Linked DNA regions of Saccharomyces cerevisiae S288C. Changing the gene in region 1 together with any one later gene gives a genetic interaction. Each region holds a gene or a part of one and is shown in the gene's direction. Other genes may lie near its edges.

What was found.
Region 2: mutations in CHA1 (region 1) and FTR1 together harm fitness more than expected from each alone (negative genetic interaction), as found in Saccharomyces cerevisiae (one large-scale study listed by BioGRID).
Region 3: mutations in CHA1 (region 1) and PST2 together harm fitness more than expected from each alone (negative genetic interaction), as found in Saccharomyces cerevisiae (2 studies listed by BioGRID).

What each region holds. Positions count from the first base shown.
Region 1 is NC_001135.5:15,259-18,818, reverse strand, and holds CHA1 (L-serine/L-threonine ammonia-lyase CHA1), read left to right. Parts: upstream 1-1,938; coding exon 1,939-3,021; downstream 3,022-3,560. Other genes in the region: chromatin-modulating protein MRC1, read left to right, coding at 1-3; VAC17 (Vac17p), read right to left, coding at 258-1,529.
Region 2 is NC_001137.3:459,987-463,537, reverse strand, and holds FTR1 (high-affinity iron permease FTR1), read left to right. Parts: upstream 1-1,797; coding exon 1,798-3,012; downstream 3,013-3,551. Other genes in the region: cohesin-loading factor complex subunit SCC4, read left to right, coding at 1-570; RNA-binding protein LSM5, read right to left, coding at 672-953; YER145C-A (uncharacterized protein), read left to right, coding at 715-1,152; putative ubiquitin-specific protease UBP5, read left to right, coding at 3,315-3,551. UniProt on the Saccharomyces cerevisiae protein: Permease for high affinity iron uptake.
Region 3 is NC_001136.10:503,560-506,490, reverse strand, and holds PST2 (flavodoxin-like fold family protein), read left to right. Parts: upstream 1-1,795; coding exon 1,796-2,392; downstream 2,393-2,931. Other genes in the region: MIX14 (Mix14p), read right to left, coding at 2,628-2,931.

The sequences.
Region 1 (3,560 bases):
TAGTGGTTTTTTATCTTTTCCGAAGAAGTTGATTGAACTCCAGAAGCTGTCTTGAAGTAGTCGCATTAAAAAAGATGGCACCCGAGTCTAGGCCAAGCCATAGTCATGTTATGATAGGATTTTATAAGACAAATATTATAAAGAAGTTTAATAATAATACAAAAAGATACAAAAAAACTTGAAGATATTCTGAATAAAAAAAAAAAGAATAAACATTTGGAGCAAAAGAAGAGTAGGTTAGGTAAAGGAGGCATTAATTAAAACAGCAGTTCTGTATTCAAAGCATCTTGCAATTCTTCTATAGAGACGCTTATATCCATATTATTTTTTTGTTCCTGTGCTACATTATGATTTGATATTCGTTCTTCATTCATGCCCTTATTCTTTCTCCCCCTCTTACTTTGAAAAGATTCTGATATTGTGCTTAACGATGAATTAAACTTATCCATAAAAGATGCATGCTTAAGATTTGTGTTGTTCTCTTTTACCGTATGTGTATCTGATCGTGCAATGAATGATGATAACAACGCCTTAGAACTTGAAATACGAGGACCATTACGACTAGGAGCCATTGTCGCTGCAACAGTTGGATGACAGTTCACTTGGACATTTGATATCGAAGTTCCAAACGTCGGATTAGATGGCCTGAAGAATGAGGCGGAGAAACTTCCCAGATTGAGCGACTTAGAAGGTGCTGGTTTGTTAGATAGTATACTTTCGTGAGAGTTATATCTCCTTAAAGGTTCGAATTCAGCACCCTTTGCGGTCACACCAACATGTGGAGGGGTACTTATGTTTGGTAGAATGATAGTATCTTGATCAGAATCAAAATCTTCATCATCCATTTCATCAAAGAAGGTCAACGAAAGTCTTTGTCTATTTTTGAAGAAAGACTCATACGTATCCGAGGAAGACGGTTTCTTACTTTTGTTCAAGCCAGTATCATGTGATTTGGCTGCACGTAAAGTGCGATTTCTTGCAGGTTGTTTTTTAGGTGAGCACGGTAAAGAGTTAGTTTTCGAAGGACAATCGACTTCATTGATGGGGTTAAAGCCTACCGATTTTTTTGGTGGTTTCGATGGAGTTACCATACACAGACGTTGCCTCTCAATTATTTTCAATGGTCGAGGTTGAAATGACCCTAAACTACTTCTGGTGGATTGCGATTGTGGAGAATCATTAGGCGCTTCATTTGGGACGGTGGCCAGCTCGTTCAACCTCAAAGTGATATCCTGGAATTCACGAACCAAGTCTTCTATGCGTTGATGCTCATTATCCTCTGTGATCAATCTGCGTTGTTGTTCCTTGCTCAACTTGTCTCGAACAGATTCCGATCTAACATACAAAGAGTTCAGTTGAGACATATACTGGTTGTACTGTTGGGATAACTTATCCAATGACTCTTGATCTGTTGTCTGGCATATTGATGATCTCTGCTGACGTTGTATCCACAGATCTAATTGCAAGATAGCCTCTTGCGACCTTATTAAAAGCCTCTCCGTGATATCCTCTAGGGCTTGGGTTGCCATTAATCGATGTGTCCTTGTTTCCTTATGCGAGCTGTTTCTTATCTATCTTATGGTCCCATTCTTTACTGCACTGTTTACATTTTGATCAATTGCGAAATGTTCCTACTATTTTTCTTTTTCTCTTTTCGCGAGTACTAATCACCGCGAACGGAAACTAATGAGTCCTCTGCGCGGAGACATGATTCCGCATGGGCGGCTCCTGTTAAGCCCCAGCGGAAATGTAATTCCACTGAGTGTCATTAAATAGTGCCAAAGCTTTATCAAATTGTTTGCGATGAGATAAGATAAAAGGGACAATATGAGGAGGAACACAGGTATATAAATATCGCCAAATAAAAGGAAAATGTTTATACAGTTTTCTCTTTTTTAAGTGCTGGATAGACAAGAGACAGGAAAATTAACCAGCGAGATGTCGATAGTCTACAATAAAACACCATTATTACGTCAATTCTTCCCCGGAAAGGCTTCTGCACAATTTTTCTTGAAATATGAATGCCTTCAACCAAGTGGCTCCTTCAAAAGTAGAGGAATCGGTAATCTCATCATGAAAAGTGCCATTCGAATTCAAAAGGACGGTAAAAGATCTCCTCAGGTTTTCGCTAGTTCTGGCGGTAATGCCGGTTTTGCTGCTGCAACAGCATGTCAAAGACTGTCTCTACCATGTACAGTCGTGGTTCCTACAGCGACAAAGAAGAGAATGGTAGATAAAATCAGGAACACCGGTGCCCAGGTTATCGTGAGTGGTGCCTACTGGAAAGAAGCAGATACTTTTTTAAAAACAAATGTCATGAATAAAATAGACTCTCAGGTCATTGAGCCCATTTATGTTCATCCCTTCGATAATCCGGATATTTGGGAAGGACATTCATCTATGATAGATGAAATAGTACAAGATTTGAAATCGCAACATATTTCCGTGAATAAGGTTAAAGGCATAGTATGCAGCGTTGGTGGAGGTGGTTTATACAATGGTATTATTCAAGGTTTGGAAAGGTATGGTTTAGCTGATAGGATCCCTATTGTGGGGGTGGAAACGAATGGATGTCATGTTTTCAATACTTCTTTGAAAATAGGCCAACCAGTTCAATTCAAGAAGATAACAAGTATTGCTACTTCTCTAGGAACGGCCGTGATCTCTAATCAAACTTTCGAATACGCTCGCAAATACAACACCAGATCCGTTGTAATAGAGGACAAAGATGTTATTGAAACCTGTCTTAAATATACACATCAATTCAATATGGTGATTGAACCGGCATGTGGCGCCGCATTGCATTTGGGTTACAACACTAAGATCCTAGAAAATGCACTGGGCTCAAAATTAGCTGCGGATGACATTGTGATAATTATTGCTTGTGGCGGCTCCTCTAATACTATAAAGGACTTGGAAGAAGCGTTGGATAGCATGAGAAAAAAAGACACTCCTGTAATAGAAGTCGCTGACAATTTCATATTTCCAGAAAAAAATATTGTGAATTTAAAAAGTGCTTGAAAATCCAATAACTTTTTCGTTGAAGCATCAATTTGCCCTTGATAATTTTCATACATGTACTACATACATTTTACTCATATATCACTATTTTGCTAGTATTGATTTTTTCCAGAAGTATTAGTGTAAGATTTCTCGAAGTAAGCATCAACATATCCAAAACGTTGACATATTTCTAGGCCGGCAATGCACAGAATTTGTATAAAGGGGGACATGCTGCAGAAATTTGCTCAAAATTATCCATGAAAGAAGTACCAATGAAGCACTAGCCTGTTCAAATTCACTTGATACTCGAGCATAAAGCATAAACTACTGCTTTTTAACTTATAATTTCTACCTCTAACACTCAGTGCAGTCTGTAATAAAACACACCAGATATCGTTCTATTAGTAATATAATTATGCTTCTCACGTCAAATTTACTAGCTCGAGAGTTAGTTAATCCTTACTAAGTGAAGAAAAGCAACTATAGTCATAGCAAACATAACATAACATAACATAAAATATAGGTTGTACTTTGTCAATAGAAATACAATCCTATGT
Region 2 (3,551 bases), on another chromosome or scaffold:
AATTGCTACACAGTGCAGGCGGCAAGAGTGAGCCGATGTTCGGGGGACAAACAGGGCGAACTCGTAGAGCAATGCAACAAGGTGTGGCTTCAGGTGGAGAAATTGCTACAAGAAACGGATCTGCAGTTCAACCCCATATGGGAGTGCACAGTAACGATCCTATGGCTTTTCAGCCATTTCGAGCCGTTCAGTTGGAACCCGCTGCCATGTAGTGACAAGCAGCGCGCCGAGTACGTGTCGAAGCTCCGCGAGTTCTACTCTAGCAACAAGTTCGTTGCCGGAGAAGCCGTTGCGGACAACCGCTTCAAATTGAAGAAGGCTCTGTTGCTGCAAATACTGGTAAACTACTTAGGCGGTCGAATGCTCGAACACGATCTGGGCGAGATCTATGCGATTTCAGCAAAGTGTTTCGATATGTGCCGCCAGCAGGGCGGCATGCGCAAGGTCCAATACGTGATCGGAATATGGCATTTAATGAATTGTACGGTGGCGATGCGGGGAAAAGACGTCGCTCTCACGAACGCGAAGCTGGAGGCGCTGGTTAAGCAAATCACCAGTGTCAAACAATAAACCAAAAAAAAAAAAAGAAACACTTGATTTCCTTTATCTATTTTTATACTTAATTATTTTTTTTAGATGCACTATACAAATTCGCGTTAATTTTTGCCTTTTTACAACGCCTCCGTAGGGGTCTTTTTGCCGCCTGGCACAAGGATGGCAATATTGTTGCCGCTTAAAAGCATTCTGCCATGGTGCTGCATAACTTTCTCATTTCTGCTCTCGTCCTCAGGATCGATAAGCCACTCGACAGCGTCTTCCAGTATAACGTTGACGAAGTCGTCGAAACCAACTAACGTGCCCTCGAACTCGCGGTTCGACTGCAGCACAATCAACACTTTCTGGTTAATTGTTTTATCTATGACTTCCAAAGGCAAAATCTCCGGTAGACTCATTTTGCGCGCTTCTGTGTATGCTTGTGAGTGCACGTGTATACGCTATGCTTGTTGTGAGACCATCTATCCGCCAAGGAAGCCTTTTTCGCTTTCTCTGTATTTTTTCTACTTCAATAAGAAAGCAAGTATTCTGTTTTGCTACCCGGATGCAAAGACAAAACCCGAGCATCCGGGTAATAAAAGAGCAGGGTCCGGCTGAAGGTGCCAAAAAAGACCAAAAAGGGCTATATTATCTCTCTCTTACGATTGCCTCTGGTTAAAAAATGAAATAGATAATAAAAGGGCAGCAAAGAAAAAAAAGAAGAATACAATATACGTATACGTTCTCAACAATTTTTCGTCCTGTTTTTTTCTTGACCACGGTCACTACTAACTCCTGAGACATCAGACCAACGTGTAGAAAAAAAGAAATCGGGTCCGGCACTGACACACGCTCTGCGCCAATCAACCAGGGCGCATCGAGCATTCTTTCCAGGCCAGGGTGCAGAAATACTATTATTAAGTGCGCGAATACTGCTGGTGCATTAAACGAGCGAGTACAGTGAGCCCGCCGCTGACTGCCGACTCACGCCAGGCCGCTATTTCCTTCCCCCGCCCGCGTAAGCCGTGCCGAGCACCGTCGCAGCAGTAAGAAGGTGCGCATTTCATTCTCTGCACAGCGTAGATGAATGCACCCGATTTCTAAGTTGGTGTTGCAAGGCCCGGTGGAAGCGATGGGCTGTAGTTCGACCTTGAGCTTTTAGTTATATAAAATGCTCAATGTGAGCAAAAAAATACATAACACGACGGATTGTACGTTGTCGAAATCTTCTCTCAGCAGGTCATCACACATATACTTCCCGCCATGCCTAACAAAGTGTTTAACGTGGCCGTTTTCTTCGTTGTGTTCAGAGAGTGCTTGGAAGCAGTGATTGTTATTTCCGTGCTGCTATCGTTTTTGAAACAGGCAATCGGGGAACATGACCGGGCGCTGTACCGTAAATTAAGGATTCAGGTTTGGGTCGGTGTGTTACTCGGGTTCATCATTTGTCTGGCCATCGGTGCAGGTTTCATCGGTGCGTACTATTCGCTGCAGAAGGATATTTTCGGAAGCGCGGAAGACTTGTGGGAAGGTATCTTTTGTATGATTGCGACGATAATGATCTCGATGATGGGTATTCCTATGTTGAGAATGAATAAGATGCAGAGTAAGTGGAGAGTGAAGATTGCGCGGTCGTTGGTGGAGATTCCTCACCGTAAGAGAGACTATTTCAAGATTGGGTTCTTGAGTAGAAGATATGCTATGTTCCTTTTGCCGTTTATTACTGTCTTGAGAGAAGGTTTGGAAGCTGTTGTGTTCGTTGCCGGTGCAGGTATTACCACACAGGGCTCGCACGCCTCTGCTTACCCATTGCCCGTTGTGGTTGGTTTGATATGTGGTGGTCTTGTTGGGTATTTGTTGTACTATGGTGCTTCGAAATCCTCGCTGCAGATTTTCTTGATTTTGTCTACTTCGATCTTGTACCTGATCTCCGCCGGTCTTTTCTCTCGTGGTGCGTGGTACTTTGAAAATTACAGATTCAACCTTGCCAGTGGTGGTGATGCTTCCGAAGGCGGTGATGGTAATGGGTCTTATAACATCAGAAAGGCCGTTTACCATGTCAATTGTTGCAACCCAGAACTGGACAATGGGTGGGATATCTTCAATGCTTTGCTTGGATGGCAGAACACCGGCTACTTGTCATCCATGCTTTGTTACAACATCTATTGGTTGGTTCTTATCATTGTGTTGAGTTTAATGATATTCGAAGAAAGGCGTGGTCACTTGCCTTTCACCAAAAACTTACAATTGAAACACTTGAACCCAGGATACTGGATCAAGAACAAGAAAAAGCAGGAGTTGACGGAAGAGCAAAAGAGACAACTGTTTGCCAAGATGGAGAACATCAACTTCAATGAAGATGGTGAGATCAATGTGCAAGAGAACTACGAACTTCCCGAGCAAACTACCAGTCATTCCTCGTCTCAAAACGTCGCCACAGACAAGGAAGTCCTCCACGTTAAAGCCGACTCTCTTTGAATGAAGTCTAGCACAGGGTGGGAGTTTTCCACCTATTTTCTGTTGATAAAAATACTACATTTATATACATATATACAATAATTTCTAATATCGTTTTTATAAAGTTGGCCTTGTCTGTACGGCGTCGCAAAACAAGAACCCCTGGTCCAATTGATCTACCGGGCATTGATTTTTTTTCTTTTTTCCTTGCGCCTCACTTCAACACATCAAGTAAACACCAGCTATATTTAGTTGCTAGGTATTCTCCAACGTATGTGGAGTCCTTTCTTTATTATCTCTCTACACAAATAGGCACAAGCGTAATGGGCTCAGAACAAGCCTTAAGTGAGGTTGTCGAATCTGCTAAAGAGCGGTTCGGCAGGCTTAGGCATTTAGTTCAGAAGTTTCTTGATGATGACGACGTGCCACAAGAGTGTCTGCCTTTGCTCCAAGAATGCGCAGAAATATGGTCTAGTTATGTGGACGCATGCCAGGATATAACCATGCAGGCCCCTAAAGAAGATGCAAACCGGTTGTCAAAGGGGTTTCTCCGATTGAAT
Region 3 (2,931 bases), on another chromosome or scaffold:
CCACTCTTTTTAAAGTACTCTACTTATATAAAAAAAAAAGATAGGGATTTACAATGTTAATTATTACACGCAGCATCTAGCGTATGATTGTATGTCCCGAATGCCCCGTTATTACCCAATAAAGCAAATTAATACGGTCTTTTTATAAAGCTGTGCTTCTTTTTCGGGGTAGTTTTTCCGTGAAACCCGTAGATGGGAACAAGAAGAGCAAAAAACCCTTTTTTTTAAATAATCCGAGAGTTTGACAACTTGTAAAAAAAAGCGCAAATGTCGGCGCGCCAAGTTGAAAAGTCGCTCAGAGAAATGAGAGGTAATACCGCGTTCCCAAAACAAATAAACAAACAGAGCAGCCAATCTGCGTGGAAAGTAAACCAAAAAAGCAGAATCACTTGAATCAGGCGGTTTTCTTCGCTTACTCTATACGGAGCCTAAATGCAAAAAAATAGATATTTTGTACTATTCTAAATCGGAGGCCTTCTCTGTGTTCTCAATTTTTTGTAAAGGCATTGAAATATGAAAACAAAATTAGGTGTATGAGCATGAGCACATCGAAGTAATTTAGATTTCTTTATTAATTATGCATGTAGTACACATTACCGCTAACCTTACATCTGCATAAGATCTTGCATCTTCAATAAAAACTCTTTCGCCTTGACTGGAGCATTCAAAATTAAGCGCCTTTTGCTCGCTTCGCAGATTTCTACAATTGAGATAGCATTGCTGTGAGCGCCCTTGCGTGAATCTATATCGTGAAAGAGAAGATATTATGACAAAAAATTGAATGATTTTGCGGGGCCATACCAAAATCCTTTCATGAAACAAGAGTTATTCTTTTAAAAGAAAGCGAACTATGCTATTTATCTTTACGTGTTACATCCAAAATCATTGCCGTAATTTTGTAGGAAGCGCAAAGTGTGTGATTAAAGCATTTGCTATTCTTTTAATTTCCCTTTCCTCTTTTGTTTTGTTTTTTTATATTTTTGCCTATATTCTTCTTTTTCTTTTTCTGTCTTGGGACGAAAGACAACAAAAAAAACCACCAGTAGCAAGAAATAAAAGAAGAGCCACTTAAATCGAGATAATATCTAAATACAACTTTTTATCATGGCAAGAAGAAGGAATATTTCTTGCAAAAACGTGAAAAGGAGTATACTACATAATCGTTGGACTGTCATACTCCGGATGTAGTTTTTACTATTTTGATTATCAGTAATATATCTCCTTTTAAATGATAATTATATATATATATATATATATGTACTACTAATAATGACAGTGTGACCTGGGTGGTTCGAAACATCTAGCGTAACTTAATAGTTATTGGCTGCCACCTCTTTGGCCTTGGAAACAGAGGGACTCATGCGTTTTGATGAGTGTCCAACTTATTAAGGTGCGTGCGCCTGGCTTGTTTCCCTGGATAACATTATGGACTTAAATCGTTTTACTTGTGGCTTTTGCGACGCTGACTGATTCATTATTAATTTTTCCTATTGCCGCTCATTGCGATCGCTTACCCGTCTCTTGACTGTCTTAGTAAAAAATTAATAATTCTGCGGGGCTGCACCTGCGCAGTGTATTGGCAAGCCTTGGCTTCGTTAGCAACCCCTTTCCCACAATTGAGTACAGTTACTCTCTGGACAACAATAAAATATATATAAACGTCAACGAGCGGCAAAACGATCAATGCATTTGGCCTTATTCTTTTTACTGTTTTTCTCATATAATTAAATATCGTCGAATAATATATTCAATAAATCATCACCACTCTCTAGTTAAAAGAATCCAATTATATACAATGCCAAGAGTAGCTATCATCATTTACACACTATATGGTCACGTTGCTGCCACCGCAGAGGCAGAAAAGAAGGGAATTGAAGCCGCTGGAGGCTCTGCAGACATTTATCAAGTCGAGGAAACGTTGTCTCCAGAAGTTGTTAAGGCGCTTGGCGGTGCTCCAAAGCCAGATTACCCAATTGCCACTCAAGATACGTTGACAGAATATGATGCCTTTTTGTTTGGTATTCCAACTAGATTTGGTAACTTCCCTGCTCAATGGAAGGCTTTCTGGGACCGTACCGGTGGGTTGTGGGCTAAGGGTGCTTTGCATGGTAAGGTCGCTGGTTGTTTCGTCTCCACCGGAACTGGTGGTGGTAATGAAGCCACAATTATGAACTCTTTGTCTACTTTGGCTCATCACGGTATCATTTTTGTCCCATTGGGTTACAAGAATGTTTTCGCTGAATTGACCAATATGGATGAAGTTCACGGTGGTTCACCATGGGGTGCGGGTACCATTGCAGGCAGTGACGGTTCAAGATCTCCTTCCGCCTTGGAATTACAAGTACACGAAATTCAAGGCAAGACTTTCTACGAAACCGTTGCAAAGTTTTGAAATAATTTGAAGTATTACTTCTCCTACCTATGGAAATGAATGATCCTTTACCGAAAATTATTCTGTGATGAAAAAAGGACTGCCCGTCAGGTATACCTAAGTATCTTTAGAAAATATATATACTTTAAATACAGTAATTTCTTCGGACATTTTAGTTAAAAAATATTCACAGGAATATATAATGTCTTTATGCAACGATAAAAATGGCGGAAATAAACAAAGGAAGCCTATTAATTCAGTCCTTGATTAATTCCAAGTTTACTCCATTAATTGAAGGCTTAATATTTTTATTTTTAACCTGCAATTCCGCACATTTCCTTAAGTCCTGTAAGAATCCTAGACAGTTTTCGTTAATAGTTCTTGTACCCATATTATCACGAATGCATTGGTCATATTTCTTCATTGGCTCACTACATTCGCTCATGATACTTTTCACACTGGGCACTTTTTCTCTAATGCATGTAGATAATATCATTCTTCCATCTTTACACTTCCCAGGATTTTCCTCATTATCTCTTATGCATTTATGATATTGCAGA